Cricetulus griseus: one gene and its partners. The protein of the gene in region 2 binds, or shares a complex with, the protein of the main gene of each other region. Links are inferred from orthologs where the notes say so. Each region holds a gene or a part of one and is shown on either strand. Other genes may lie near its edges. The genes, in order: Arrb1, Cltc, Dlgap5, Cltb and Gtse1.

Region 1 (4,440 bases), on a different chromosome or scaffold from region 2:
CTCCTTGGGGCCTCTGAATGTTGTGCTATGTGGCAATGGGTAATGATGGTTGCAGATGGGCTTCAGGCTGCTAATCCGATGACCTTAAAACAGAGAGATCATTCTGGATTACCCAGATGGTCCCTGTGTCATCTCAATGGTTTTCAAAAGGAAAGGGAGGGCAGATCTGAGTGATGCCGTATATAATGAGAAGGCCACCTTCTCTCATTGACTTTGAAGATGGAGGAAGGAGGAGGCTTCCAGAAGCCAGAGAGAGTAGGAAGCAGATTTGCCCTAGAACCCCCCAGAAGTAATCAAGGGCTGCTGACACCTTGATTTTAGCTCAAGGAAGCCCACTTGAATTTCTGAAGCACAGAACTCTAGTTAAGTTTGTGTTGTTTGAAGCCACTGAATTCGTGGGACTTTGTAAATAGCAGCCACAGAAAATGAGCTTGAAGGGTTTGGGGACCCATGGATGGTTCCTTCTGTGCCTCTGGCTGAAAGTGGCATGTGACATTTGCACCCGCATTTCATTGGTCAGAATAAGCCACAGGGGGGCGTCCAACTCCACAGGAAGGAAGATGCCTGGCATCCCATACATCCAGCCTCAGGGAATCCTGGTGCCTGTAGGGAGTATCTAGTACATCTTTGTTGCCTGTAGCACTTGTTTCTATAGTCTAGTCCATCCCATTTCATTAAAAATCAAAAAATAAAGCCAGGTGTAGTGGCACTTATGAGGCTGAGGCAGGAGGATCTCTGAGTTTGAGGCTAGCTTGGTCTACATAGTGTGTTTCAGGATAGCTAGAGCTACATTTGTGAGACCCTGTCTTGAAAACAAACAACCAACCTCAAAATATAATCAGGCATAGGAGCGCATGTCTTTAATCCCAGCACCTGAGAGGCAGAGGCAGGAGAATCACTGTGAGTCTGAAGCCAGCTTGTTTGTATTTGAGTTCCAGGACCCTGCCTCAAAAAAAAGGATCTCTGTGTATGTACGTACTGTATGTGTATGTGTGCGTAGAGGCTAGAGGTCAACTATGGATGTCTTCCACTATCATTCTTCACCTAATTTTTTGAAACAGGGCCCATCACTAAACATGGAGCTTTCTGTGAACCCAGAGCTCTTTATGTAGGCCAGACTGTGTGGCCACAGAAGCCCCCGGGATCTGCCTATCTTTGCCTTCCCAGTGCTGAGGTTACAGGTGCAGCCTGCCACATATAGCTTTTACATGGGTACTGGGCATCTGAACTCAAGTCCTCATGCTTGTGAAGCAGGCGATTTATCCACTGAGCCAGCTCTCCGACCTGTAATGTTTTAAGTAGGTTTCCTAATCAACCAGTGACTTGCAACCTCTGGTTTGGACAATACTAATCTCCAGAGCCTCTTCTGCTCATGCTTCATGGACCACAGGCTATGTCCTGGACACAGGTGATTGGGCCAGGGGGTGGGGTACCTAATCAAAGCTGACCAATCAGATTCCTCTCCTGGGAATTTGGAATTGGGCCATTCAGTCAGTTAGCAGCGGGAAGCTGAGTGAGAGGCAGGGTAGAAACAGGGTTGGAGTGTGAGTCACATGCGAGCCCAAAGGATGGAGGAGCAGAAAAATCCCTGAGTAAGCGGGGCGCGCTGGTCCACAGAGACAATGGAGCAGCCGCACAGACAGCCTCGCAGCCAGGAGGCCCTGCAGCAGCCCCAGAAGGAGCGGTGGAGACAGGGAGCTACGGCTTGAGGCTCCGATGGCGTCCCCATTCTCAGCTCCGGCCCCAGCGCATCCTGCCTGCTCATCCTTCCCGTGAGATTTTGGCCTCCTTATTAGGACCTCCTCTTCTTTCTCGAGCTATCCTGAACCTTAACCAGGAAGGACACTGCTGGTCTTTCTCTTTGGGGAACCCAGCTGTGACTAAGGCTCAGGTTGTGGGGCACAGGCAAGGCTGGGGGTGAACAGACGCAGCTGCTCAGCAAGGCTGGCTGGGATTGTGGGCTTAGGTTAGGCCACGGGCAGAGAGGTCTATGCGGTGTTGCACACGTGGGGTTGTGGAAACGGAAAATACCCCATAGAGCCTCTTTTCTGACAGTGTTGGGGCAAGAAGTGAGTGGAGTTTTGAGTGGTGGTGCTTGGCTATGTGATGGAGTGGTTGAGTCTCGTGGGTGCCTCTTCGAGCCTCAATGTCTCCATCTTTGAAATGGGATTGTCCAGGAAGAGCCTTGTCCTGGGAAAAGTACTTAAAGGCATGAGTGGGGAATAATAAACAGACAGAGAATGAGGCAGCTGCTCTTGTTGTTTGAGGAAGCCACAAGAGTCCTGGCTTCCTGAAGGAGGTGGCCTCGGGTGCTGACTAAGGTAGTGGCAGGACATTCCCCACTGATGGCTGTGCTTCCTGCCCCTCTTCAGCCCCACTCTGCCCCTCACCCCAGTCACCTTTCATTTATCCCTCTCTCCCTCCCCTCTTGTCTGTTCTTCCTGCCGTTTTGAAACATGGATTTAGGAAACAGTGGGTTGGATTAAGGCACCAATCTCTGGAGGCCCAGTCAGAAGTGAGTCTGGGTCCCGACCTAGCCCCTTGCTTGCTGTGCTCCTGGGCAAGTTAATGCATCGCTTGGAGCCTCCAGTTAATTATCTGTGGAGTGGGAGTTAGACTATCCTTTCTACTATGAGAAATAATGAGCTGCTCGGCAGAGCTTTAATTCCCCTCCCCTTTGCCTCTCTCCGCTGCTTGGTGAATATTGCTCCTCCTGGCCCCACGTGTGCCTCGTCCTTCCCGGCAGCCACTAGAGTGGCTTTCTCTCTCAGTTGTTTATCCTGCCTGGGTGTGAGATCTTTCCTTTTCCTTAGAGCACAGGCTACCAAGGGCTGGAGGTAATTGTGACTTGGAAGCCACAGGGTTTTCACTTCTCTGGTTTCCTGGAGAAACATGGAGCTCCTAGCTTCTAGCTTGGAGTTGCTGGTTCAGATGGAGTGGTCTGCATTTTTTTCCCCTTACTTTAACAATTATCACACCCTGGCCAGTTGTGGCTTCTTCACACTCCCAACACTGATAAATATTAATGAGAAGACAAGGCTCCCAGGGCCCCTAGGGGAATGTTTGGGGAGAGGCTGGGCCACGCTCTCCTTTGCAAGCAATACTCAGACCTGTCAATATTCCCTAGGTCCCAGAAGGGAGGGTGAGGCAGGGCCATGGCTGTGGAGACCCCACACAGTCACAGGCCTGGATGCCTGCAGATCAGCTTCTGGGAAGGATTGGGGCACACCCTGCTGAGGCTGCCTAGGGGTTTCACCTTTCTGGGTCTGTCCCATCTCTCCCTGCTTCAGGCTTTCTGATTCTTTCCCTGGTTTTCTTCTCCTCCTGTCTCTTGTTCATCTTTTATTTTCATACCTCTACCTCTGTCTCTCTCTTCTCTCTTCACACCTCCCCTCCTTTCAATACCTTTCCTCATCCCCATCTCTCTAGCTTTCACTTTTCTTCTGCCTCTCCCCAGTAATGGCTGAGAAATTGTGGGCTGGATAAAGGTACTTAGGCGAGGGAGACTCGGGTTCCCAGACACAGCTCTAGAAGGGGAAAGGTTGCCATGAAAGGCAAGTGGCACTCTTCAGGATTTAGGGACTACATTACCATCTAATCTCAGGCCCAGTGCTCTGCTATTCGAGCATAGGCATCTGCCCCCACATTCCTGTGCCTCTGTCCCTCAGTGAAGCAATGAAATTCATTCATTTATCTGTTCAACTAGTTTATATTGTACTCTTGCCACCCTCAATCATTTAACAAGTATTTCTTGAACAATAGTGACGTGTGCCTTTGTGTGTGTTTGGGATGTACCCGTGGACAGGAGAGACAGTGGGCATATTTGGAGCGGGCATGCCAGCAGAGCAGACAGGTGGGGCAAGAAGTAAAGTATATGGTCAGGGGGTTGCTGGGAAGAAAGGAAGAGTGAATCAAGAGAAGGACTGGCTGACAGGGGTAGTGGGATTGGGAAAGTGGGCATTTGGGAAGAGTGTCCAGGGTAAGAGAGTAGGGTAGGGGAAACTGGGAGCAAAGGCCTTGTGCAGCAATCACCTGGTGGATAAGGAACGAGGAACAGAGGGGCTGGAGAGCAGTGAGGCTGGAGACTAAGGGAGGGTGGCAGGAGGTGACATAGGGAGGGAAAGAGGCCAGGTCAGATCACTGGGACTTAGCAGGCACTGAAGGATTTTCCTTTACTCGAGCTGGGTGGGCTTGTGAGTCTCCCTCAGCCCACTCTGAAGGATTGAAGGAGGGCTGCAGGCAGCTAACATTCATCCTAGGAGGAGAGGTGGAAGGAAGGAAGCTGTCCTGCTCTGAGGCTTTGCTGGTCCCTGTAGGACACTCAAGGCCTTTATCTATGGCCCTGTCTAGGGTCGCCTGCAAGAGATTGGCTGGGCAGAATCCATTAACCCTGGCTTGGCCTCTCTTTCTTTTCACAGAGTGTTCAAGAAGGCAAGCCCC
Region 2 (3,865 bases):
AACTTTGTCTTTTAACTTTAAAGGTATTCTAGCAGGGCTTTTTTGCTGTAATTGAAGCTTTTGCACTTGGTAATCTTCCATGGTTGTCTTGGCTGCTGTTGGTTTTGTACTTAGCATTTGGAGTAATCCTTAGGTAGAACTAAGTAAGCAAACCAACATGGGAGTCTATGGGGCAAGTGCTTTCAATTCTGACCAGACTCTGGGGCCTTTCTAAAAGTGGACTTACGCTGATAAATCTCTGCATCTGACTGGAAATTTAGATTCACAGTTTATGGGCTTTAAAAAGAAAACGGTCTTTTAGATTTTTAAGTCAGTTTTGCTTGTTGATGAAATGATGTGCTTTTTATTTTCTCTTTTCTAAACCTAGGTAAATCCAAGTCGACTCCCCGTGGTTATTGGAGGGTTGCTTGATGTTGACTGCTCAGAAGATGTTATTAAAAATTTGATTCTCGTTGTGAGAGGTCAATTCTCTACTGATGAGCTTGTGGCTGAAGTTGAAAAAAGAAACAGGTGTAGTACTATTTTTCCACATTACAACAGATGACCTTGCAGCCCCAGTAGTGTAGTAATAGCTGACATACAGCTGACTGATGATCTGAAGCTGCTCGGCAGCTAATGGAAAGGGCTCAGGCTAGCTTTCAGAGTTGAAATTGGCCTTTTTTTTTTTTTTTTTCCCTGAAATGTGACTATATTTCTATAGTTACCAGAGGATTGTGCCGTTTGTAACATAGCATGTTGGGGCTTTGTTGTTTCACTAGATTGAAGCTGCTTCTACCTTGGCTTGAGGCCAGAATTCATGAGGGCTGTGAGGAACCTGCTACTCACAATGCATTAGCCAAAATATACATCGACAGTAATAACAACCCTGAAAGGTTTCTTCGTGAAAACCCCTATTATGACAGTCGTGTTGTTGGAAAGTATTGTGAGAAGAGAGACCCACATCTGGCTTGCGTCGCTTATGAACGTGGCCAGTGTGACCTGGAACTCATCAATGTAAGTACTACTTGCTGAGCATGTGCAAAGGCGGCTGTATCCCTTTAACTGCTTGTATTTTTGACTAGCAAAATTTGAATTTCTGTATGATTTTAGGTATTTTGGAGCAGTTCTGGGCAGAGAGGTGCTTTTTTAAAACTTTAACTGGAAATAAGTAGTAAACCTAAATGTGCTCAAAATGTAAAGTGTGTATATACTCTTTCCTGATCTGGCATGTTAACTCTATTAGCTTTACCTGTTCTTGTACATGGTCATACATACCTGAACATAGCATTTTACCTGTTACATACTTCATGGATTTGTGCCCCTTTGAGCTCTATTTTCTAAGGATGAAAAAGTATCTTCACATAGATACTAGCTACAGTCAATATGACATTAGGTACTTTGAAGGATCTGTTTTCTTTCAGTGTTGTCAGGTTTTTGTGTAGTTTAGGATCATAATTATGTCCTCTGTAGTATTTTTATAATGAATCAGTTCTTAGAAATGTATTTTTTTTTTAATGATGGATACCTTTGCTAAACTCCTAATTTTATTTGTATTCTCTTAAAAAATTTTATTTGTGGAATAAAAGCCAAAATTTCCATTTTTAAAAATGTCTTTTTAAAAAAAGACATTTATTTATTATATATATAGTATTCTGCTTGCATGTTTGTCTGCAGGCCAGAAGAGGGCACCACATCTTATTACAGATGGTTGTGAGCCACCATGTGGTTGCTGGGAATTGAACTCAGGACCTCTGGAAGAGCAGTTATTGCTCTTACCTTTGAGCCATCTCTCCAGCCCCCAAAGTTTTCAATGTGAAGTAAACAATTAAGTGGCTATTAGTTAATACACAGTGTTACATAATCACTATTCTTGCCCACCTTTCAGGGTCTCATCATTAAGGAAGAGGTCCTCTTTTCAGTAAAGCTTCTCTATACTCCTGCTTCCCACGAACCCTCACAAATGACAAATCACACTGAACCCCTGTGGGTTTGTCTGTTCTGTATGTTCTGTAAACTAAATGTTTATTTTATTTTATTTTTTGCACATGCATGTGGAAGTTGGGGACAATTTGTAGGAATCTGTTGTCTCCTTCAACTGTATGTGTGCCTGGCCAAAAGTAAAGCATTTCTCATTTTGAGTTTCCCTGTATTACTTCCTAGCCTTTGGGCTACAATCAAGTACTTCTGTAATGGTTCTCTGTGGTGGGATTTAGATCACACACTTCTACTGGGAATACTCTTGCTCCCACCCCACCCTATAATTTAAAGTAATACAATATTAATAATGTTTTAACATCGAAAGTAAGCTGAGTATGGTAGTGAATGTGTGTAATTCCAGCAGGGAGATAGGTTTTTGAAGCTCTGGTACATGAGACCACCATCTCAAAAAAGTAAGCAGATTGTATAATGGAATCCTTTCTTAAAGCCCCTGAAACTTTTTTTTTCCTTTGTTGGGTTTCCATGAGAATATGTGACTGGCATCCCTAAGAGATTATATAGAAGTAATAGATTTCTTACAAAACAAAGAGTTGACATGATTGCAAATAACGTTCAGAGTCATCTGCAGTCTTTTTACTTTTTGTGTTGAAATTAACCCTTGCTATTTTCATTAGGTTTGCAATGAGAATTCCCTGTTCAAAAGTCTTTCCCGCTACTTGGTCCGTCGAAAAGATCCAGAATTGTGGGGTAGTGTGCTACTGGAAAGCAATCCATACAGAAGACCACTAATTGACCAGGTAAAAATGGCAAAAATGGTTCCCTTCCTTTTGACTTGGAATACTTTCCTCTCATTATATACCTAGATAAACTCAAATGAGTCATTTAACTATAGCAGAAAGCAGAAGTTAAAGAACATTAAAATTATATTAAATAAATACAAAATTATACATAGATATACATTAAATTTAAGGAAAGAGAAATCTAAAAATGTAATTATCTTAAGTTCATCATCATTAAAAGGAAATAAATTAGGATTGACTACAAATTACTACCTGAAAAGTTGACTAAATTGAAGACGTTTAAAACATCTCTTCTTGTAAGTCAGCACACAATAAGAATTGATAATATATAATACAAAAATCCAAGTGACTTGGAGGAGGGGAGATGATGACTATGAGTGAATCATGAGCCTATCTCCAATTCTTTTTTAAAAGTCCAAGTAAGTGTCATGGAGATGGTTCCATTGGCAAGCACGAAGACCTGAGTTCACATCCATCCCTATCACCCACATACAAGCTGGGCTTAGGGGTCCCTGTATTTAACCCTAGTCATAAGTAGACAGAGACAGGAGGACCTCTGGGACATCCTGGTCAGCTAGTGCAGTCAAAGTGGATGAGCTCCAGCTTTAGGGAGAGACTTCTATCAAAAGTAGAGAGTGAGCGGGCTGGAGAGATGGCTCAGAGGTTAAGAGCACCGACTGCTCTTCCAGAGGTCCTGGGTTCAGTTCCTGCAACCACATGTTGGCTCACAACCATCTATAATGAGATCTGGTGCCTTCTTCTAGTGTGCAGATATACATGGAAGCAGAATGTTGTATACATAATAAATAAAATCTTTAAAAAAAAAATAGAGAGTGAGCAAGACACCTGGTATCAAGACACTTTGATACATGCACATGCACCTGAACGCATTGATGCACACAACCACAGTAATAGTACCTAATAGCACACACAATGCTCAAATCAATCATAGTGAATCTAACTAAAGTACCACAGTACACAAGTTTTTATACCTATATGATAATTGCAATCTCAAATTTAAAGTGCTAGTTATTGCTCATTATTATAATGATTCTTAAATTCCTCTGATAGACAAAGAGGTACAGCACTCTGAAGAATAGATTACTACCTCTGAGTTTTTCACTAACCCGGGGAAGCATTTCCAAGGC
Region 3 (3,865 bases), on a different chromosome or scaffold from region 2:
AAGTAAAGACCTTTCATTATTGTAAGTACTTTTCCAAGTAAGTTGAAGTGGGTCTGGAGAGATGTCTCAACAGCTAAGAGTGCTTACTGTTCTTGTAGAGGACTTGGGTTCAGTTCCTGGCATGGAGGCTCACAACCCTCTGCAACTCCAGCTCCAGGGCATCTGATCTCCACAGGCTCCGGCATGCTTGTGGTTCACATACTCGGGCTTGTGTGTGTGGAGATCAGAGGATAGTGTTGTGGAGTTTAGCTCTCCTTCCACCATTATATTGGTTCCAGAGATCACAGTCAATGTTGTTAGTATTGCTCAGCAAACATTTCAGTCGTTGAGCTGTCTTCCTGGCCCCTAGAAGTTTTATTTTATAATTTTTCAGGATCAGTGTGGCCTGTGTACCCAGTGCATTTGAACCTGGTTTTATAAAAGGTGGTATTGGGGCTAGAAGATTAAAGTCTGCCTCCATGTCCAGCTCTCTTCCAAATTTGTCGTTTTTGTGATTCTGAAGAAATGTGAGGGGCAAAAGCTGAACAAAATAGTTGCCGGTTTTTGTTTCTTCTCATCTGAGGTGAATAGTACATATTTGAAGAAGAAAAAAGGAACTGGGCCTGTTTGGAGAGAGAGAATTACCTATCTACAGAGTTTTCAGGAAATAGAAAAGGCCTAGAGACTTTTTTTGTGGTCTGAACACAACTGAAATACAGAGTGAATATTGTAGCAGACAATAGTTTTAGGAAAGGGTATTTTAAAATTAAGAGTTCAATTTTGGACATGTTTTTCCTTTTTGGCCAGGTGGTGGTGGCACATGCCTTTAATCCCAGCATTTGGGAGGCAGAGGCAGGTGGTTCTCTGAATTCAAGGCCACCCTAGTCTCCAGAATGAGTTTCAGGATAGCCAGGACGGTTTCACAGAAAAACCCTGTCTCAAAAAAACAAAAACAAAAAATAATTTTAAATTAAAATAGAATTACCTCATTTTCCCTTCCCTTTCCTCCCTCCAGTTCTTAGGTATCATCCTTCCAAACCCTCCTGAACCCCCCCCCCAGTTGATAGCCTTATATTATTATTAAATACATATGCATTTATATGTATGTATGCACAAATATATAAATACTGCCTGCTGTTGGACATGTTGAAGTTATGCCTATTAGGCATGTAAGGAGAGATGATTTTAAGAAAATAATTGGGGGCCTGCTGTGGTGGCTCATGCCTTTAATCCCAGTACTCGGGAGGCAGAAGCATATTAAAGACATATAGTGAGACCCTGACTGAAAGCTGGGAAGAGTGAAGGAAAGCCAGATAGGAATGGGTTCAAAAGAGAATGGAAATATCACCTAGGATAATATTCTTGCTTCAAAGATTGAACTTGAGTCTAATAAAACCCTTAGATGTAATTTCTACTCTAGCAAAACGTGGGGGTTAGGAATAAGTGAAAAACTTGAAATAAGCAAAAACAAAAAAAAATCCCATCAAGGGCCCACATCTTTTGTGGGCTTGAACTGGGTCTAAGAACCTAATTAATGTGTGAGACAGTTCACAGAAAAGCTTATAAAATTTACATGGGGGGAGTTCTTCATAGAGAAAATGAAATTCAAAGAAATGGCCAAGGTATGATGCTTCTTAGACCAGAGGTCAGCAAACTTGTGAAGGAGGGACAGAACAAGGTAGTAAGTCCCAGGATTGTTGCTAAGAGACAAATTGAGGCTAAGGAGGCAAGGCTAATAATGGAAGAGCTGGTATATTCCAAAGTTGGAGCCCCAGTGAGGAAGGCTGTCCTCTTGGACTTTGTGTGTGAATGGCATCACTCCCAAAGACTTGTTTTGTTTGCAAAGTGTTAGGGATTGAACTTAGGGCCTCACCCAGGCTAGGCAGACAAGCAAGTGCTTTCCGCTGAACTGTAGACTCCCAAAAGAACCTTTTGTTTTTGGAGACCAGGTCTCAATAGATAGCCCTGTCTGGCCTGGCATTGCTAAGGCCAGGCTAGCCAAGACCCTTCGTTCCTCTTGCTTCTGTCTCTCAAGTGATAGATTGTAGGTATATGTCAAAAGATACCAACAACATTTTTCAAGCTTGTTGAATATAGGAAAAGGCAGACCAAGTGACCTGTTCTAAAGTTCTTTGAGTGATTCAGCCTGACATAATCAATGCACCAATATTTTTTCTAATTTTGCAAATGAAGGCATACACAATGACTACAGTTTTCAAACTGATTAGAGCTTGAAATAACTCGTTTTACAGTGTTAAGGAGTTAACAGGACAGGATTAAAAGCATTTCTTAGCAAATGAAATTAGACAAAATGTCCTTTTAGAAATTTGATGTAAGCCAGGCAGTGGTTGCACACTCCTTTAATCCTAGCACTTGGGAGGCAGAGGCAATCGGATCTCTGAGTTTAAGGCCAGCCTGGTTTACAGAGCAACAAAGGCTACACGGAGAGAAATCCTGTCTGGAAAAATAAGGAAAAAAAAAAAGAAGACCCAAAACAACCAAAAATGTTTTGGTAATAGTTTGTTTAAAATGTTTTATGGACTGTTGTTTGACACCCTTCTCCCCTTAAGAGTCAGAGAAAATGGTCCTGAGTGACCAAAGGAAACAGCTCCTTCAGAAATACAAAGAAGAAAAGCAACTTCAAAAACTGAAAGAGCAACGAGAGAAAGCTAAGCGAGGCGTGTTTAAAGTGGGGCTCTACAGACCTGCTGCACCTGGCTTTCTCATCGCAGACCAGAGGAGTGTGAAAGCTGAGCCAGAAAAGGTGTGTTTATGGTTTTAACTTAAAACAGACAGTCAATTCCTTTAATTTTGCAACAAAACAAATAACTACTTAATTTAGGGGAAAGTTTCAATTTTAAACTGAGACATGGAATAAATTTTGCCTGTTTGTTTGTTTGTTTTTTAAATTGATCTTTTTTTTTTTTTTAACTTTTTAAAGGTTTGTCCATACAATGGGCGTATTACAAGATCAAAGGCCAGAGACCATATGGAACACACTAAGGTATCATTGTGTAAAGATAATTGCTACGAAAATAACATATTGTACCGTTTTCCCCCTTCAAAAATTTGTAATTCCATATTCAACCAAAAATCAGTTGCAGACATAGTGATTTATTTGTCTGAATTGAAAGTATGAAAATCAGTGGTGACTTAGAACAGTTTCTGGCTAGATGCCAAGAAAGTTTGCACTCACAATATCCTTTGCATAAGCATCTCTTAATGTAATCCATCCCAGACTTCATCTTTATGCTGCTGTTTGTTTACTGTGCTGCTAGTATGCATTGCAAACTAACTGCATGAAATGCAGATCAGAGTGAGAAAAGCACAGAGTGGACTTCAATACATTTCTGGGTCCTCTAAATACAGCAATGAAGGAAGGCTTTGGGAGAGGATTAAGTATGTTAGGTGGGAATTGGGCATGACTTTTTGTCAAGTAAAGAAGCTAAGTTTCATGTTTTTAATATTGGAGACATTGTCATGTTCCTTTAACTTCTCTAGCCTCTGGGATACTTACAGTACTGAATAAAATTCTGGGGGGGTTTGGTGCTACTGTAGGCCTAGAAATAAAATCGGTATGGGAGATGGGAGATGGCAGGAAGCGAAGACATTGAGTGACATTTTAGTTGGAGTAGTTCAGGAAAGCTTTGCTGAGATGCTTACAAGTGGGGTGAAGTCTTAAAGGAAGTGAGGGAACCCCAAGAAAAAGCTTTCTGCCTAGGAGAAATGGAAATGTAAAATTCAGAGATTTTTTTGCTGTTGTAATTTGTTTTTTTTCTGCCCCCAGCAGTGTTGGGGGAATCAGAGAGGCCAAGGATCCATCAGTGCAGGTTAGGCACACTCCATACCACCAAGCAACTAACTAGACTATGGTGCATGAGCCACT
Region 4 (4,448 bases), on a different chromosome or scaffold from region 2:
CATACCTGTGAGTATAAACTAGTCAAAAGCCCCATGGTTCAAGAGGTCACAGGCTCTAGAGGGAACCTAATACTGTTGTCTAACTGCCTTCTAAATATTTATGTTTATACCCATACATTAGTGTTGCTCTCAACTTTGGCCAGATAACCTTCTCTCTGCAGCGGTCAGCAGCTGATGCAGACCCATAACTAGTCAAAGTGCAGAGAATAAGCAATTGCCGAATGCCCAGCGCTGTGTGGGACATCGGAATCAACGCCACCAGCAAGGGCCAGGGAACACTGCAGAAGAGGAGGCAGAAAGAGTGTTACAAGGAGAGGCTGGGGACGAATGCTGGGAAATGCTGTTTGGGGGCTGACATCAACCACGTAACTTTCCACCAGGTGGCATTAATTGAACTCAGTGGGTTATTAACACAAAAAGGAGAGGCTATTAAGGGGGAGGGAGGTGTGTTGGGGATATCCCGGAGGAGTGAGATAGGAGAGAGGGGGTGCAAATGATCTGGATGTATTATTACTTGCATGTATGGAATTGTCAAAGAATTAAAAAAAATCCTCAAAAAAAAAAAAAAAAAAAAAGGTGCTATAGGTGCTATGAGCCCTGCATCTGGAAGGATGAGGCAGGAAGGTTTGAAACCAGACTCACCTATATAAGAATTCGAGGTCAGCCTAGCCTATGGCTATAATAAAAAATCAAAATAAATAAATAAATAAGAAAGAAAATGATGATTGAGGTGGGAGTGTGAGGCCTGGCATAGCATCGGCAGTCTCAAAACATATATTAATTACCAAGGAAAATAGCAACTTTACTGTGGAGAAAGCAGGCTCCACCTTAACAGAGTGAGTGACCAACGTGAGCGTAATTAATCAATAAAAGGACAAACTGACATTCTGCGCTAAGAACCGGGGGTCACTTTAAATCTGAATAACTATAAAGAAATGTAAGAGCTCAAAAAAAAAAAAAAAAAAAAAATCACTTCCCAGAGCCAGAGGCAGGCAGATCTCTGTGAGTTCGAGACAAGCCTGGTTTAGAGAGTGACAGCCTGCAAAGCCACAGAGAAACCCTGTCTCGAAAAACCAAAGCAAACAACCGGCCTGCTGCCTTCATGAACACCAATGCCACCAGACACAGGGAGAGCGGACCCCTCCTAGTTTCAGGGGACCGTCACAAGATAGGGCGGCGGGATGCTACACCGGACCAAGTGATCAAGGCTCTGCTGCACCGACCGGGCTCGCGAGTCCTCCCAGCCTCAGTGTCCTCCTCCCACGCAGGAGGAGGACGATCGTGTCACGCCGCTCATAAAACCGGCTGCAGAAGAAGCTTTGGGTGGCCGCGCAGCCCCGGTGCTCGGGAGCCGGCTGGGCTAGCGTGCCACGGGGGAGTGGGGGGCGGGGGCGGGCCCCGCGGCAGGGGCGGGGCGGGGCGACCGGCGGGCCCCGCCCTCTCCGTGACGTCACCGCATTCCCGCCGCGGCTCCTCCCGCCGCCGCTGCAGCCGCAGTGACAGGCGAGCCGGGCGGGTGACGGGAAGTGCGGGCCGCGGGCGCGGGCGGGAGGTGACAGCAGCCACGCGGGGAAGATGGCTGAGGACTTCGGCTTCTTCTCGTCGTCGGAGAGCGGGGCCCCCGAGGCCGCCGAGGAGGACCCGGCCGCCGCCTTCCTGGCCCAGCAGGAGAGCGAGATTGCTGGCATCGAGAATGACCCGGGCTTCGGGGCACCTGCCGGCGGCGGCCAGGTGGCCTCTGCGCAGCCGGGACTCGCGAGCGGGGGTGAGTGAGTGAGTGAGTCAGCGCCGCGGCCTGGAGCCGGGGCTGCGGCGGCCAGCATCGCGGGCAGGAGGCCCGTCCCGGTCGCAGCCGGCCGGGGTCCCTGCAGTGGCCCGGGCCCGGCTGTCTGGGCTGGCCACGGGCACCCGGGGGCTGTGTGTGTCCGTGGGGCCTGGCACAGCAGGGGGGAGCCGGGAAAGGGAGCCGGGAAAGCGGCCGGAGTCCGGGCTGAGGCTGGATCCGCTGACTCTGGGGACAGGAATCCCGTCGTGACATTTTATCCCCAGGCCAGCGCCTCCACCGTGTGGCTCTGCAGTCCTCCCCCTGCTCGGCTCTGAGAGTCATTCTCTGTCCAGTGTCCTAGCGAAGTGGTACAGGTGTGGACGGACGGACGGACGCAGTCCTCCTGACCAGGGCCCAGCCTTCCTTCTGCTGGGAGGCAGGGGGCACTCCAGGACCACCTGCTGCCCTGCAGCGCTGGAGGAGACATGTTAATTACATTTAGTAATTTCACACACACGCTCCTGAATCCATTTCAGAACTGGCCACAGGAAGCCTCAAAAGGTACGCTATTCAAACAGCTAGGAAGTAGCGGTCAAGTATTAAACCCATTCTGTCCGATTCTGAGTCCTTCGTATCCTGACCACACAGTCTTCCGTGTGTCGGGCTGTATGTAAGTCTGGACAGGGGCACAAAGGGCTATGAGTCCTACCCTTCCTGTTTGTAACCGTGTTTGGTGGATTTACGAAGGTGGTCCAGGACCTTTGTGGATGGTTTCAGACATAAGGGTGCAGGACCTGTTTCCTGCAATGTTATGTTTATCATTTATATTTCTGCCTCAAGGAACAATTTGTTAAATTTGTTAAATCCTGGGTACACGCCTAATAGACCTTGTTTCCTATGTTTTGTTGTAAGTCTAGAGAGGTTTAGTGGGCTTGTTGCAAATGAATATTACATGTATATGTTCACAAGGCTCTTTAACAGTCAGATCTCTTTCACTGAACGTTTTGCTGTGCTGCCATCCCCACTGGGGACACAGAATGAAGGAACCGGATCTATGGCTGAGGGGTTGAGTCAACTCTGCCAGGAGAAATGCAGTAACCCTTTTGTGACACACAAGAAACTGGAGTTTGAGGGGTTATCACCACAGCTCAGTGGGTAAAGGTGAACTGGTCTGATGACACCTGAGTTTGGTTCCTGGAACCCACATGTAAGAGAGAACTCACTGTCACACATTTGTGCACCGAAAACACACACACACACAAACACACACACACACACACACACACACACACACACACACACACGCACATATGAGTAAACAGTATAAATAATAATAATTAAAAGAAGAAGAAACTGGAGTTTGAGTATCTTGCCTAAGTTCACACAGCCATGAGTTGTGGCTCTGGGCACTTGATTTCAGTCCTCCTAGCTCCATACTATGTTATTCCAAAAACTGAGTAGTTCTGCCTAGAAGATGACAGAATGTGGCATGGAGAAGCAGGGACCTAACTAAGCCAGCCGTGCAGGCTCTCGGTTCTTCAGCACAGGCCCTTTATTTTCTCAGGGAACCTGCCCAGGCTCCTCCATGGAACTTACTTGTCCCCATATCAGGAGGTCTTTAGAAACTCATGAGAAAGACAGATGGAGTTCAGGCTGAGGATAGCCCTAGGGTCTGGGACTTAGCAAGCTGTGGTCTTTTCAGGGACTTAGAGCTGGACGGGAGTGCACTGTCTGATTAGGTTTGCTATGAGATGACAGGGAAAGAGACAGTGAGTGATAATCCTTTGGGAAGCTGCCAGGGACACAGCCCTCTGAGAGTCTTCCAGACTCCTACACGTGATGTTGCAGGTGCCCAGCTGCCCTCCTGAGTGGCATTTTGAGGAACAAGGAGGTACTTCAGGAGCAGAGCTCAACGGGTGTGAGGCACAAACAGAATGCACCTGATGCTCTTAAGCCTAGGCAACGCTAGGCAGCCATCCTTTTCTGAGCAGCAGGGATTGGCAGGAGCCTTGGTGGTCTGAGGGAAATGGCTTGGGCCTTCTGGGAGCTGGGAAGAAGCAGGCTCCAACAGCAGCCACCAGTGCAAACTGAGTTACCTCCCCTTAGACGATGGGGTCTTCTGATGAGCAGCTCCTATGCTGACTTAACTAATGCGGGCTCTCAGGAGGCCCTGGGGAAAATCCTGTCTGGCCCCAACTGAGCCTGCTCTGGTAGCAGATCTGCAGCAGGCTTGGGGCATCGACACTTTGTTTCCATTCATCAGCCTTGGGTAGGGCCCAAATGGGCTACATTTTCACACCCAGTGTTCCGGGCTCTTGGCCTGCCTGACTTGTGGGCCAGCTCTGTGTAATCCTGTTGCCCCTGCTGGGCCTCAGTAAGCTCACAGGAATGTTCTGGATTCCCAAATGGGTCAGGCATCTGAGGAGGTCCCACACGGAACAGCTTATCCTTGGGGCTTGTGTTTGCCTTGCTGTATTTATTCTGTGGGCTCTGTTGTGGACTCAGGATCATAAATGTGTAAGAGCCAGAGAACACTGTGGAATAGACACTGGTGATTCTGTGAGTGGGTGTGTATACAGTCCCCAGGAGGCTGACAATGCTCCATCTTTCTGGAGGCTGAGGTGGGCACCAGGAAACTCATGTGGCCTTGACAGGAGAGGTAGTGCAACTTCTCCAAAGGTGT
Region 5 (3,865 bases), on a different chromosome or scaffold from region 2:
CCTTTGATGGGGATCTTAAACCTGGGTATGGCTGGGCAAGTGGTGAAAACCACCATGTTTACCTGCCGGAGTGATGGGAGCCCAGATGTCTTTTTAGAGAAAATCTCCTGGAATGAGTATCTCCTTAAGTCCCTCTGACTCTTCCATGGATGGCACCATAAAGGCAGCCATGTTCAAAGATGTAGTTACCTGTGGGGCAGGGTGGAGGCATTGTTTGCAGAGGAACCTGGAACTCATCCAAGGTCTCCTGGGGGCTGCCACCTTGAGTCCTGCCCATGCAGCCCCTTCCCAAGAACAGCCCACTCAGGCTCTATCCAACTTTGGTGTCTGTTTAAGATCTCCATGTCTTCACCAGGGTCCTCAGCAGCACCCCTGTGAGACGCTCATTGGGGCCCACTCAACAAGGGCTGCCCGGCAGTATGAGGACCCCTGTGAGCATGAGACGGATGTCAACACTGCCCACCCCTGCCAGTCGGCGCCTCTCTGGCCTTCCATTAATGGCACCTCAGTCCATGCCCAGGGCTCTGGCATCCCCACTCTGTGTGCCTGCCAGGCGACTTTCTTCTGAGCCCAGAAGAAGATCTACAGTCAGGTAAAAACAAGGGTTGAGTGAGCTTTTGTCTGTAGTTCCCCAGACCTCAGGGGTCCCTGTGCTGGTAAGGTACAGGCAGCAGATAGGAGAAATAGAAAAAGAAGCTCTGTGAAACACAAGATTCTGCTTGCAAATAGGCAGAGGTGTGTGGGGGGAAGCAGAGGTCCTGCATGTGTGCGCATGTGAGAGTCTGTTGTGTCTTATGTGTTTCTTGTGTCATGATGTGTGGTGTGTGTGTGTGTGGTGTGTGTGTGTGTGTGTGTGTGGTGTGTGTGTGTGTGTGTGTGTGTGTGTGTGTGTGTGTGTGTGTGTGTGTGTAAGCATAATGTGTGTGTGTGTGTGTGTGTGTGTGTGTGTGTGTGTGTGTGTGTGTGTGTGTATTCTGTTTTAGTTTGTGGATATTGCTACTGTTCACCGTTTCCACAGTTCATTTAGCTTTACCGCATCAGGTGCTCAGGGCTATGCTTGGTGCCAGATAGGAGACAAGAAATAGGCTGGACTAGAGGTTGTGCACGGTATACCAGGTGTACCCATTAGTGCCGGGCGTGTGGTAGACAGACTGCCGTGTCAGACCAGAGTGCAGGACCAGGCCTCCTGAGGGAGCAGTGGGAGGGCACTCCAGCAGCAGGCGATTGGCTCACCTAGGCCTGGAGGGGGCTAACCACAGCCTGTGGGCAGAGGTGGAACCCCTCCTATGTAATTTTAGTAGCTTTAAAGAAAAGGACTGATGCTGGCCGGGTGTTGGCACACGCCTTTAATCCCAGCACTTGGGAGGCAGAGGCAGGCGGATCTCTGTGAGTTTGAGGCCAGAGCGAGTGCCAGGACAGGCTCCAAAGCTACACAGGGAAACTCTGTCTCAAAAAAAAAAACAAAAAATAAAAAAATAAATAAATAAAAGAAAAGGACTGGCATGGCACAAGGTGACACTCAACTGATAACATTGGAGAAGTGAAAGGAGCCTTGGAAATCTCTGGGCCTCTTGCACAGAGATCAGGGTCTAACCATTGAGGTTGTCCTTAGAGTTAGGCCACTGGAGCAGGCCTCTGGCCCTGGTCGGGTGCTGCTTCAGCGATCGCTTTCACGCCATAGCTGATGAAAGGTGTGTTAGAAAGATCTTACAGCTTCCCCTACTCTCCTCCCCAGAGTGGAGCCGACCCAGGAGAGCAGGAGCAATGCCAATGGTGGGCAGGGCCAAGGTCAGTCCTCAGATGAGAGCTCTTCTGCTCCATCCTGTGTGCCTCAAGCACTTGACTTTTCTCCAAACAAGAGTGAATCTCCTCCTTCCCATGGCTCCACCACAGAGGCAGCTCAGGGTGAAACAGAGCCTCATGAAGACAACACAAGCCCCACTGAGGTACATGGAGCTGGCTGCAGTTATATGCCATCTGAGGTTCATGGAGAGTCACAGACAGGGACTCACAGTTCCTTTCCTCCTTCACCCTGTGGCTGGGCCTATGGTTTCAGCAGACTCGGGGGGGGGGGGGGGGGGGCTCAGGACTAGGGACTAAAGAAATGTTTGACAAAGGAGTTGGTGGGGGATCAGATGGTGGGAACAGGAGCAGGAACAAGCTGTGGATGGGGAGGGTACACTGCCGAGAGGGGAGTTTACTCCCACTCAGGGTCCACTCCAGCCTTTCCCTTGGGCCCCAGGCTGTGAGTCCTCAGTCATAGGCAAAGCCTGGCTTCCCAGGGTGGTGGCTGGGCACCAATGTGGTACTGGACTTCCCCTCTCTTCACATCCTGCCTAGGGTCTTCTCCTGGACATCAAGCTGGACCAACTCACCATCACTCCTGAAGCAGGAGGCAGAGACCTAGCTGACCGCCCTCTCATAGACTTCAGCAACACCCCTGAGTCCAACATGGCTTTGGGACCCAGCAGCTGGCCCCTGATTGACCTTGTAATGAATACTCCAGACATGGGTAGAAATGATGTGGGGAAACCTCCAAAGGCTGAGCTTGGGCAGGTGAGAAGCTGCAGGGAATTCATGCTGACTTCAGCTCAGGGTGCTATCAGACCTGGGCCCTGCATGGTGCCCTTGGGGCTCACAGCGCTTGTGTCTCGAACTCATGTTGGGCAGACTTGGCTTCTCTATGGTCACCCATTACCATCAGGCATCTTGCTGGACCTGGAGGAGCTCTCAGGGCAGCAGTCACATCCCCAACACCACATGTTCCTCCCTGCTGTGTCAGGGAGTCACACAGTGCTTATGGGTTTGATGGTTATCTAAGAGTCTTAGACACGGTGGTTGAGTCTCCTTGGCCTCGCTGCTGTGCTGAGTTGTTTTTCTGTCCCTGGGCTCCAAGTGGGACTGGATCAGCCACTGGACCTGCTTGTGTCTTTTGTGCAATGGCTTGCCCAGGCAACTGTGTTTACCTTGGTATCTGTTCTCTTCCAGCTGATTGACCTGGGTTCCCCACTGATCCATCTGAGCCCTGAGGCTGACAAAGAAAATGTGGATTCACCACTTCTCAAGTTCTGAGCAAAGCACAACTCTGCCCTTTACTCTGTTTATTTCTGTTGTGGCTTTAGGCCCATAGAAGCAAATTTTGAAAGGAACTGTATTTGATTCGGGGGAGGCTTGTGTCTGGAACGGTGCCCGGGTGGGATTCTCCACTGTGGATATAAGCAATCCACCTGTGTGGCTGTCCTGCTCCCTGCCTTTCCTCTAGGCTTGAACACACCTCTCTAAAAACTTTGTTTTGATTCTTTTGTATGTAAAATAGCAAATGACTGTTTGTAAACTTAAATTTGTTTGAAAAGTTAAATATTCCAGATTTAAATTAAATTATAAAGTACAGTATATTAAAGTATGCTTGATTTTTTTTTTATATACTTGATGTTTGGGCATGGAGCACTGTTTCCATTTCTCCAGACATTATAGGAGACTCATTATCCAGCCTTAATTTTATAAAATGTAGGATAATAAAACTAGTATAAACATCAGTCTCTGACCGCCTGTCATCCAGGCTGGCCTAATAGCCTGCATTATTAATACAGTTAGCTAATTCTGATGTAGTGGTCTAAGGACCACACCTTTCACAGGTGGCTCTGGGTAGCTAAAGTGCAGAGAATAAAGGGAGAAGGAAGGTCTACTTCAACAATATAGGGGCTGAGCCTGCAGCTCTCTTCCCTGGGGCACTTCTGAGAACACACCAACCAGATTATGTGAGACACTGGGAAGAAGGTCACTGGAAAGCCAGTCCGGTGCTTGAAGCCTCACTTGCTAAAGAAAGACTAGCTGCCTGGAAGCCACTAACCTATGGATGACAGCA

Evidence for each region.
Region 1: the proteins of Cltc (region 2) and Arrb1 are in contact, whole or in part, in a crystal structure (PDB 3GC3), measured with the Bos taurus proteins. The link is inferred for Cricetulus griseus from reciprocal best matches to the Homo sapiens genes CLTC and ARRB1. Residues at the interface, in NP_776448.1 of Bos taurus: His12, Leu13, Gln14, Gln16, Asn17, Leu18, Gly19, Val50, Asn56, Asp57, Pro58, Ser59, Asn60, Ile62, Arg63, Arg64, Pro65, Ile66, Ser67, Ala68, Lys78, Ile80, Leu82, Lys83, Ala84, Thr87, Gln89, Phe91, Asn92, Ile93; in NP_776668.1 of Bos taurus: His30, Ile31, Asp32, Leu33, Val34, Glu35, Pro36, Pro96, Thr98, Arg99, Tyr173, Pro175, Lys355, Thr374, Asn375, Leu376, Ile377, Glu378, Leu379, Asp380.
Region 3: the proteins of Cltc (region 2) and Dlgap5 are in contact, whole or in part, in a crystal structure (PDB 7ZX4), measured with the Homo sapiens proteins. The link is inferred for Cricetulus griseus from reciprocal best matches to the Homo sapiens genes CLTC and DLGAP5. Residues at the interface, in NP_004850.1 of Homo sapiens: Val50, Arg64, Pro65, Ile66, Ser67, Ala68, Leu82, Lys83, Ala84, Thr87, Gln89, Phe91, Ile93, Lys96, Ser97, Lys98; in NP_055565.3 of Homo sapiens: Gly833, Asn834, Leu835, Ile836, Thr837, Phe838, Ser839, Pro840, Leu841.
Region 4: the proteins of Cltc (region 2) and Cltb are in contact, whole or in part, in a cryo-EM structure (PDB 6SCT), measured with the Sus scrofa proteins. The link is inferred for Cricetulus griseus from reciprocal best matches to the Homo sapiens genes CLTC and CLTB. Residues at the interface, in NP_001139599.1 of Sus scrofa: Gln1291, Arg1293, Gly1294, Phe1296, Lys1326, Phe1327, Gln1354, Ala1355, His1356, Pro1382, Thr1383, Glu1413, Phe1414, Lys1415, Pro1416, Leu1417, Gln1444, Pro1446, Leu1447, Thr1473, Glu1474, Glu1475, Glu1503, Leu1504, Ile1505, Arg1508, Leu1533, Lys1535, Met1538, Lys1562; in XP_005661527.2 of Sus scrofa: Pro100, Ser102, Trp106, Gln110, Leu114, Ser121, Thr124, Glu125, Trp128, Arg129, Ala132, Asp135, Leu136, Trp139, Val147, Asn150, Lys151, Asn154, Arg155, Asp158, Tyr162, Glu191, Trp192, Lys194, Val195, Leu198, Cys199, Asp200, Phe201, Cys209.
Region 5: the proteins of Cltc (region 2) and Gtse1 are in contact, whole or in part, in a crystal structure (PDB 6QNP), measured with the Homo sapiens proteins. The link is inferred for Cricetulus griseus from reciprocal best matches to the Homo sapiens genes CLTC and GTSE1. Residues at the interface, in NP_004850.1 of Homo sapiens: Val50, Arg64, Pro65, Ile66, Ser67, Ala68, Leu82, Lys83, Ala84, Thr87, Gln89, Phe91, Asn92, Ile93, Lys96, Ser97, Lys98, Asp143, Arg144, His145, Trp164, Gln182, Leu183, Tyr184, Ser185, Arg188, Lys189, Val190, Ser191, Gln192; in NP_057510.5 of Homo sapiens: Ser686, Arg687, Pro688, Leu689, Ile690, Asp691, Leu692, Met693, Ser707, Pro708, Val709, Val710, Gly711, Gln712, Leu713, Ile714, Asp715, Leu716, Ser718.

What each region holds. Positions count from the first base shown.
Region 1 is NC_048596.1:99,980,047-99,984,486, reverse strand, and holds the start of Arrb1 (beta-arrestin-1), read left to right. Parts: upstream 1-1,494; 5' UTR 1,495-1,716; coding exon 1,717-1,772; intron 1,773-4,418; coding exon 4,419-4,440. UniProt on the Homo sapiens protein: Functions in regulating agonist-mediated G-protein coupled receptor (GPCR) signaling by mediating both receptor desensitization and resensitization processes.
Region 2 is NC_048600.1:99,949,294-99,953,158, reverse strand, and holds part of Cltc (clathrin heavy chain 1), read left to right. Parts: intron 1-367; coding exon 368-510; intron 511-758; coding exon 759-993; intron 994-2,591; coding exon 2,592-2,714; intron 2,715-3,865. UniProt on the Homo sapiens protein: Clathrin is the major protein of the polyhedral coat of coated pits and vesicles. Two different adapter protein complexes link the clathrin lattice either to the plasma membrane or to the trans-Golgi network.
Region 3 is NW_023276807.1:203,456,455-203,460,319, reverse strand, and holds part of Dlgap5 (disks large-associated protein 5), read left to right. Parts: intron 1-2,549; coding exon 2,550-2,743; intron 2,744-2,920; coding exon 2,921-2,983; intron 2,984-3,865. UniProt on the Homo sapiens protein: Potential cell cycle regulator that may play a role in carcinogenesis of cancer cells. Mitotic phosphoprotein regulated by the ubiquitin-proteasome pathway.
Region 4 is NC_048596.1:273,637,984-273,642,431, reverse strand, and holds the start of Cltb (clathrin light chain B), read left to right. Parts: upstream 1-1,476; 5' UTR 1,477-1,575; coding exon 1,576-1,765; intron 1,766-4,448. UniProt on the Homo sapiens protein: Clathrin is the major protein of the polyhedral coat of coated pits and vesicles.
Region 5 is NC_048595.1:382,678,760-382,682,624, forward strand, and holds the end of Gtse1 (G2 and S phase-expressed protein 1), read left to right. Parts: intron 1-355; coding exon 356-592; intron 593-1,735; coding exon 1,736-1,946; intron 1,947-2,340; coding exon 2,341-2,556; intron 2,557-2,988; coding exon 2,989-3,072; 3' UTR 3,073-3,400; downstream 3,401-3,865. UniProt on the Homo sapiens protein: May be involved in p53-induced cell cycle arrest in G2/M phase by interfering with microtubule rearrangements that are required to enter mitosis. Overexpression delays G2/M phase progression.